Danio rerio: one gene and its partner. The protein of the gene in region 1 purifies or fractionates together with the protein of each later gene. This does not show direct contact. Links are inferred from orthologs where the notes say so. Each region holds a gene or a part of one and is shown on either strand. Other genes may lie near its edges. The genes, in order: e2f3 and tfdp1a.

Evidence for each region.
Region 2: the proteins of e2f3 (region 1) and tfdp1a purify together in Homo sapiens (affinity purification with mass spectrometry; 3 studies listed by BioGRID and IntAct, with this or other methods). This does not show direct contact. The link is inferred for Danio rerio from reciprocal best matches to the Homo sapiens genes E2F3 and TFDP1.

The regions. Positions count from the first base shown.
Region 1 is NC_133194.1:31,758,860-31,763,235, forward strand, and holds the start of e2f3 (transcription factor E2F3), read right to left. Parts: upstream 2,884-4,376; 5' UTR 2,622-2,883; coding exon 2,364-2,621; intron 70-2,363; coding exon 1-69.
Region 2 is NC_133184.1:36,641,660-36,646,207, forward strand, and holds the start of tfdp1a (transcription factor Dp-1a), read left to right. Parts: upstream 1-1,528; 5' UTR 1,529-1,616; exon of another isoform or gene 1,617-2,971; intron 2,972-4,548. UniProt on the Homo sapiens protein: Can stimulate E2F-dependent transcription.

The DNA of each region.
Region 1 (4,376 bases):
ACTTCGAAGAGTTTTAGCTGGCTCACTGTATTGGTGGTCTGTGATGTCGAGCTCCAGCCTCCTTTTAGCCTAAATTCCACCCCAGAAATAAATAAATAAATAAAAACTATACACACATGCACACATTACCAGCCTAAACCTGCTTTACATACATGTTAAAACCCCAAGTTTACACCATTAATGTGCATTAGGAACTAAATATATAGTAAAGTCAAAGTACTTTGAACCAAACAGAAAAACTTCATGTGGAAAGGATGGAAAAAAGACTAGATAAAAACAAATAGAATAGTATACAGGGTGTCACAGTGGCGCAGTTGGTAAAATTCGCTGGTTCGCACCTCAGCTGGGTCAGTTGGGTTTTCTGTTTGGAGTTTGCATGTTATCCCATGTTTGCATGGGTTTCCTCCAGTTACTCCAGTTCCCCCACAGTCCAAAGACATTGGGTATAGGTGAACTGAAGAAGCTAAATTGTCCAGTGTACGAGTGTGAATGCAAGTGTATGGGTGTTTTCCAGTGTTGAGTTGCAGCTGGAAGGGCATTCGCTGCATAAAACATGCTAATAAGTTGTTGGTAAAAATTACTAGATAAAAAAAATTATATATATATATATATATATATATATATATATATATATATATATATATATATATATATATATATATATATATATAAATAAAGCTAGCACCTTATACATCTCTAAAGCATTTTAAAAAGACTCATTTCACTAACAATACACAAACTAAAATGCACATGACAACACAGACACAGTAGAGGGGAGCAGTAAAATGGCTGTCCTCCTTTTCCAAAGGCTTAAACTCAGTGACCACTGAGAAACTAAGAAAGTAGCACCGACTACATGATAATTATAGATGCAGTCAGGATCTATTTTTTGCATTTTGCAAAAACACTGATGTCATCATTAAACAAGCAGAAAATACATCTCTCGCATGACATGCACAAATACACTGCATACATGAATTAAGCAACTACGAAGGAAATCTCGGTTTATCTAGATTAAGAATTTCTAGCTTTGCTGTTGAGTGTCTTTTTTTTGTTCTGTTTTTCAAACCATGATAGTTCTAATATTAAAAGGTCAGCTTTAGAGCATGAAATGACAACTGTTTTAAAATAACGCTATGTTTTTAGACATTTATTTTTTTAAACAATACAATATCAATGCTTTAAGTCCTAAAGATTATATTGTAAAAGTAATTTTGTGGAACAAACCCAGTTGTTAAATAAAGTCAATTTTATTGAATTAAAACATTTTCTTTTTAATCCAAACGTAATTTGAATTGCATTTATGCATTTGGTAAGATTAACATTAGGACGACCACAATTAAATATTTATTGTCACAATTATATGACTCTTACGTGATAATTTTTATTGTAGAATTTAAATTAGCCTTGCATGACTGCAATACAGCTCTTTTCTTTCCTTCATTAGCTTTCTACTAACGTTACACATCGTACTTTTAGTTAAAAGGTTGGCCATTTGTCAACTTTAACTTAAAGCAATGAAGTGAAGTTTAGTTTGAAGTCGTAATTAAATCATGAATTAAATGATCTTAAACCTATAAAACATATTAAACCACACATTAGTTTAGGTTTTGGAGAATATGGAAACCATCGAACCTACGTAGAAAATTACTTAAAGAGCTAACAGCAGTCATGAATTTCAGCACTTTATAACGATAAAAACAAGTTAGCAAAGCATTCAGCTTAGCACAGAGTACGCGAGCTCAGAAAGGACTCCATCCCCCATCCTAAGACAACAAACCAGGGCCTAGACTCACTAATTGAAGCTTTTGCACGGAAAAGCCAACTTTTACACAGATATCAGAGAACATCCACTCGATAATACATCACATAGGGTATGTATTATACACACAAAAAACGATTTACATCGGCGACTCTCGAGCTTTGACAAAAACTTTAAGAGGCGTGCAACTGCACAACCAAGCGACTTACAAACACTAAAATAATACAATATTGAAGTTGAACAACGACATACTGCACTGAAACATTGTTTAATACGAATACAGTCGTGTTGTCTTAAGTTATACTGCACAAACTCAAACGTTACATTGCGGAAATATGCGGCGTCTTCATTGTAGTAAACAATCATTATGCGTCATGCATATTTGGGGGGACATTTGGTTAATGTGCTAAATTGTTTAATAGCATGAACGTGCAGTTTAGTTCAGAATCTGCATAAACCTGCAGACTGAATGGACTTAAAGAAGCTCCAGCAGTAGCCATGATGACAGCAGAAGTAGGCTAAGTGGACTTAGCCTCACGACTTAACATTTACAGGATTGAACGTGCAACACTTTAACACAGAATTAAACCAAGTCATTTACCGGTGGTCGTCCTAACGTGGGTCGCAGTCCTGTCCCATGTGTGGATCCTTGTAGAGGAGTTGTGTACAAACTGTCAGCAGAAGCCTCGGGCACACAGCCGTTATTAGTGGACGGCGGTGTGTTTATTTGTATACGGGTAGCATTGGAATAAACTGCACACCGTCGATCGGAAACCGCAGTAAAAACACCGTGCTGTTCAGCTCTAACAACCCCTGTCAACATGACTTGTCCTGGGACCGAGGAACCCCCCTTTCTCATGATCCTCAGAGGCGCAGGTTCCCTTTGTCCCACTTGTGATTTGAAGCTAGTTTTCTACCAAATCCGGGCGAGTGGGTGTAAAATGATCATAAATGATGGTAGCGGACAGTGCTAGGAATGCATAGCTGTAATATGAGTGCAATTGCTAAAGGATAAAACACCCGATGTAAGCGATTAAAAAGCGATGCGATCTCGCTCTTGCTTCAGCGAAAAATGGCTCCAGGAAGCGGACAATGAAGTAGGGGATGAGGTTTACGCGCGAAAGGTCCTCCCGCGAAACTCAGATTTCCCGGGAAATTTTTGAAACGGATTTGCATATGTGAACTCATTCGCTAGAGGCAATCTATTTTCCGGCCTCGTGTGCTGACGTGTCGGTATAGTGGAGCCAATGAAATTCCACGATGGTATTTTTTTTTGTTTTTTAAATAGAGGTTTCTCCTCTGGAGGGTGCTAGATGTGAGACACATGCTGAGAGATTTAAGCCTAATAATCACAAAATTAGATCTTTAATCTTAAAAGAAAATATGTCTATACCATATATTATTTTTTTCACTGGAACAATATATTTAATAATATAAACTGGACTCTAGTATGGTCATTACCTCAATTTTTTTTTATTACAAGTAAGGCTAAAGACATATCATTTAAATTACTTCATAGAGTTTATCCCACAAAATTATTTCTACAAAAATTTAAAAGTGCATTAATAACTATTGTTAATAACTAAAATTGGAAAATGTGCGTAATATATTTGTATATAATTTGATAATTATGTACTTTCTCCACTGTTTTTTTTTTTCTTCTTCTACTCTTCTCCTTTAATTTCAATTTTTCCTCACTTATTTTATTCTTGTTAAGATATGTAAAGTGATTGTATTGTACATGCTGGTTCTTGTTAATAAAAAAAAATTCAAAATAAAAAAACATGCTGAGAGCACTGCATGAGTGGTTGGGCCACCTAGAAATTTCGCTAGACAGGGACCTTTGTGTAAACTGAGAGAAAAAGAGCATCAATATCATATAAAATCAGGATTTTTCATCATTACATATAATAATATATTAAAATTGTTATTTATAGACTGTGAAAACTTATTCTAATTAGCAAAATCTTATAACTTTATGGGCATTTTTAATCAAATATTGTTATAAAAACCTTGTTTTTAATTGTTATATAGTGAATCAAAAATAATGGGTCAATAGATAATTTCAATGTAGTCATGTCATTGGCCCATAAACATTTCTTGCTTTTAATCAAACTGTTTCATAACTGTAACAAGAGGCAATTCAATCATATGCTAAAACAGCTATCATGACATTATTTATCAATCTGCGTCTTCTTTAGCTTTAGACAAAACAATGGATAATAGGAAATATGTTGAAACCATTGTTTTTTGTTTACATCCTTCAAAGTGATCTATAGGTAGACAACAGGGAAGCCTTTAAAAACACTACTACATACAGATCTTAATTAAATCTAGATGGATACGAAGTTGACACTAATCTAAATAAGCTGCTAAAAAATTGCCATCAAATCATTTTAAAGGAAAAGTGCTGTGACTAGAAGCAAAGGTCTTAAAAACATTTATATCAACTGCAATGAAATGGACGTTAACTGTAATGGAATAAATATTTTAGTGATTTGCAGAGACATTTGAGGAGCATTTCTAGTTTCTAGTACTCAAATGACAAATTCAAATCGAAATAAGATTTTGTAAAAGCAATGTGCTATATAATTATAAAACGCAACAATAACAA
Region 2 (4,548 bases), on another chromosome or scaffold:
GTTGTTCATTATTATGCGATTTACTTTCTATGTGTGATTTAATTGGACAAGAATCACAGAACTATTTTTTTCTACTTTAGCCAATTCCCATGGACAAGAAAGAAATAAAGTAGTGACTGCAGGTTGAAGCAAAGAAGTAAAAGTACCGATACTGCACTAAAAATGTACTCAAGGGACAGTAAAAGTACACATTTATAAAACTTCTTGGTAAATTACAATTTCTGAGAAAAATTACTCAATTTTCAGTAATTTGAGTATTTGTAATTAGTTACTTTACACCACTGCTACCTAACTGTGTTTATGTACTCTGTTTAGGTAAGAATTCGACATTTATAAATGTACAGCAGGGGTGCTCAAACTTGGTCCTGGAGGGCCGGTGTCCTGCATAGTTTAGCTCCAACTTTCCTTAACCCACCTGCCTGGAAGTTTCTAGTATACCTAGAAAGAGCTTGATTAGCTAGTTCAGGTGTGTTTAATTGGGGTTACACCTAAAAAATGGAGGAAACCGTCCCTCAAGGACCGGGTTTGGGCACCCTTGATGTACAGTATTTAATTCAAATAACTTCTTCAAATATACCCACCCAGAGACCTGAAAATGATAGTGACACTAAATGGTGACACCCTTTTTGAACACTTCTCCATTAGTTATCTGTATAAAACATACTGTATACAGTCCTGTCTGTGGGGGCAGCATGAATACTGATAAACATGTTACAGTCCTAAAACCAAAATGTGACCTAATGACTTAAAGTTTCAATTTTATATTTTATATAATGAGCAAATAAAATAGTCTAATTTATTATTTTGCTGATTTGTACATTATGATTTGTACTTCATAAATATTGACTTGTGCATAATACTAAACGCCTCTAAACGTATTTTATGTTGTTTTTTATACATCTTTTCTCAATTATTTAAAATGAAAACACAATTTATTAATCGTAACTTGGCTAACAAGCCAACAAATACACTTAAAGAGCTAAGAAAGAGTTTACCTTTTCCTTTTCATTTCCTAAATACAGTTAAATGGATACCAGTGCACTATTTTGCACCACAAACCTGTAATAAATTGATATGGTGTCTGTATCTAAGCTTAGGTTCAAATGTTTAGTACTTTTACAGTACTGAGATCTAAATAAATAAACAGGATGACTACCGTGCAAAGGGGAAGCGGTCTAATTGAAAATATAACCCGAGAAAGTGATATGAAAGCGGTAATTAGACATTTATACACTGGTAACAGATGTTCTTATTGTATTGGGTGGTATTAATAAACATATATTAGACATTTAATACACATGAACCATTTTTTATTCTCTTTATTTACATATATACCTACGCACGCTCCACCCTCAGACGCAGTGGGTGGAATCCAGTATAATCAACCAATGAGAACATGTCAACACAGCTTTTGTAGCGCTCCGTCTAATCAGAATTTAGCGCGGGCGTGTCTTTTGTAATACGTTTTTTCGACGTCACGAGCATCATCGTCCAATCGGGTTTCCCGTGGCGTCGACACCGCCAAGCTCAGTTTTACAGACCTAGAGAGGGAGCAGGTTCTACTGTGCGCTCCTATTCATTCTACGCTAGACAGTTGAAGGCGGATGCAACCGACCGTAAGTGAGACCAGGGGGGGCTCCGAGTCCACACAGACAGCTTTGAGCGATGTTTTCCGTTTTTATATATCACCAGTGCATAAAGAAGCTGTCTTTTATCTGCGCTTGTAATAATTTAACACAAAATAAGTGCGTTTGACAGCAAACTCGTTCTAAAACAACAGCGTGCGACTGTATGCAGTTGTACATCTGCTATCTGAGGCCGTTAGTCTGTTAACCATCAGTCCTGATTCATTATCATATAGGTGAAATATTAAAACTGTCTGTCTCAGATGGCTTGTGTTAGCCAACATGCTAAGCCATGTCAAGTGTTTCTGTCAGTGTAGTGCAATAGAAAATCGTCCCTGATCTTTACCGATCGTACAAAAAAGCATTGGCAGGCAAAACTGGACGTGTAATAAACAATAGTAAGGGGATCGTAGATTGATTATGATAAAGCTGTCGAGATGACCTCGATTTGAGTGGAAGTTAGCTTGACGTTACTAGCTCGCCTGGTCGCTAGCTTAACAGTTTTATTTTAATTCGCTTTAAAGCGTGTTTTAAAGACTTTTGAAACTAAAGAAACAGTTGTTATTGTTACTATCGCATAAGCACGAGGATTTTGTTCAATTAATAAGTAGTTTTTGACGACAGAAGGACCTGTCACCTCAGCTAGCATCACTGCATGTTGGCTTTGCTTTAGCAACCATGTAAAATGGCTGCCAGGCATTAAACCAAAACCATCCTGTTTGTTCAATTAGTTCATGAATGTTTGCAAATAATTATGTCCCATTATGAACGGCTATTTTCCGTTTTTAGAGTATAATCGGTTGTTTAACTTGTGTTGCTGTTGAAGCCAACGAATTCTGTGACCCTCCAGCTGAATAGGTGTTGTGACTGTCAACTGTGTTGCTTAATAATGTGGCCGTTTATATACATATATTTGCTTAAGATTATTCTTTATTAAACTCTATATAATATATATTGATAATTTTAGTTCTTTTATTTGGAATTATTTATAGGGATTTACAGTTTGCATGCGTCTTGTATGTGCATGCTTAAAACATCCGCATCCATTTTGAGGTTTATGAATGTGCCATGATCTAACAATCAAACATCTCCCAAGTGCAAGCTCGTTTCAAAAGCACGCTCATTCACCGCACATGGGTTTTTATTTTTCATATTATTTGATTTATTTTTGTTTCCTGTTTGAGAGATGGGCTTCAGACCTCCTCTTCCTCTGTCCTCTTGCTAACTGGCTATGCCAACAAAAACAGCACCTAAGAAGGCAAAGGGCTTCAGGACTGTAAGTTCAGAGGAAAGTTTACAGACTTCATTTCCAGATGGCCATTTAAGTCCGATTCGTTTGCAAAACGGTACGAGCACATGCACAATACCCGATCTGCTCGCATTTAAACACGAGAAGCACGTTTTGATCACAATTAGGACCAGGGTTCGTTGCAAAACGTGTTTGAAAGGCTGCTAGCTAACTGGGCTAACACGCTTTATAATAGTGCACACTGCTTCGATTGTGCATTATGTTTGGAGCGGAAAAAGTAAACGAATGAAGCAGATTATCGTTCTGCTTGATGCGTTTACACGCTTTTTTATTACTTGAGACACTTGATATTTTTGTATTTAAGGGCCCTTTCCTTTTGCAAGAAAAGTTACTCAAAACGACAGGAACTGTTGCATATGGATGTTTTTCAGGATATTGCACGAGGGGTTTGGGTGTAGGAGTTCGAGATTTGATGTTAAAGAGATGATACGATTCGTCGAGGTCTTTGTCTGGTAATAAAAGCTGCATGAGAGCTGGCGGGCCTCGTTTTCATCAACCATGACAGTGTTTCCAAACCTTGTGAGCGTCCTACCTAGACAGCATTTTAAAAATTGCGACTTCTTTAGCAAACACCGAATCGAACTAACTTTGAATTCACACAGTGCTTGAAAGTGTTTGGGTCTCATCTCAATACACTTGTGATGTTTTAATCCACATGTAAATAATATCATCAAGTAAAACATCTTGGCTAAACACTGCATTGAGATGTTAATATATAAACATTCGTGTAAACTTGTATTGTTTAGGCTTGTGCTAAAGATGTAAGGGTGTGTTCATTGACACTTGGTGGGTTTGGTTTGATTAGAATTATCTCTGGTGCAGTTGCTCTGTTGGATCATTTGAATAAGTGTGAACGCTGCCATGGTTGTGGACCAAACAAGCAGACCATCACTGCTGGAAAAATAGGTTTTGGCATGATTGCGATGCAACACAATATACTTCCTTGCAAACTAAAACATGTCACAATATGTGACCACAAAAAAGACAGTGCACTATCATACATATATTTTTAGAAGAAATACTGCTTCTTATGGTTGAGTACAGGTTTTGAAAAGGAGTCTTCTTGCAATCAAAGTTCTTAATGTCACAGTTTTGACTCCTTTAGCCTTCATGTTTTATAGGCTTTCCACTATAAGTGTGTTTAGCCCAGCACACAGCAATGTTTTGGATGTTCTCTTACAAAATATGTAATTTTTGTATTAAATGTTTATTTCTCTAACACTTTTACATTGTAGATTGTGTCAAAGCAGCTTAACATAGAAATTCTAGTAAATTGAAACCGTGTTAGTCTGGATTTCACATTTGAAGTTCAGTTCAGGGTGGTTTAAATTTTACTACTGAAAGTCCAAACACTGAAGAGCAAATCCATCAATGCACAGCTCCACAAGTCCCAATCCAAGCAAGCAAGCCAGTGAAGATGAACAAACTTCACCAATTGACGAAAGTGAAGGAAAAAAACCTTGAGGAACCAAGCTCAGCTGGGCTCCACCATTTCTTTTCTGACCAAACTTTTTTTTTTTAACAGTTTTTGTTTTAACAGTTAGCAAATTAGGACTAAGTGTAGCATTTACTATTTTGACAGACCACACAACCCAACCAAGAGATCTGAACTAC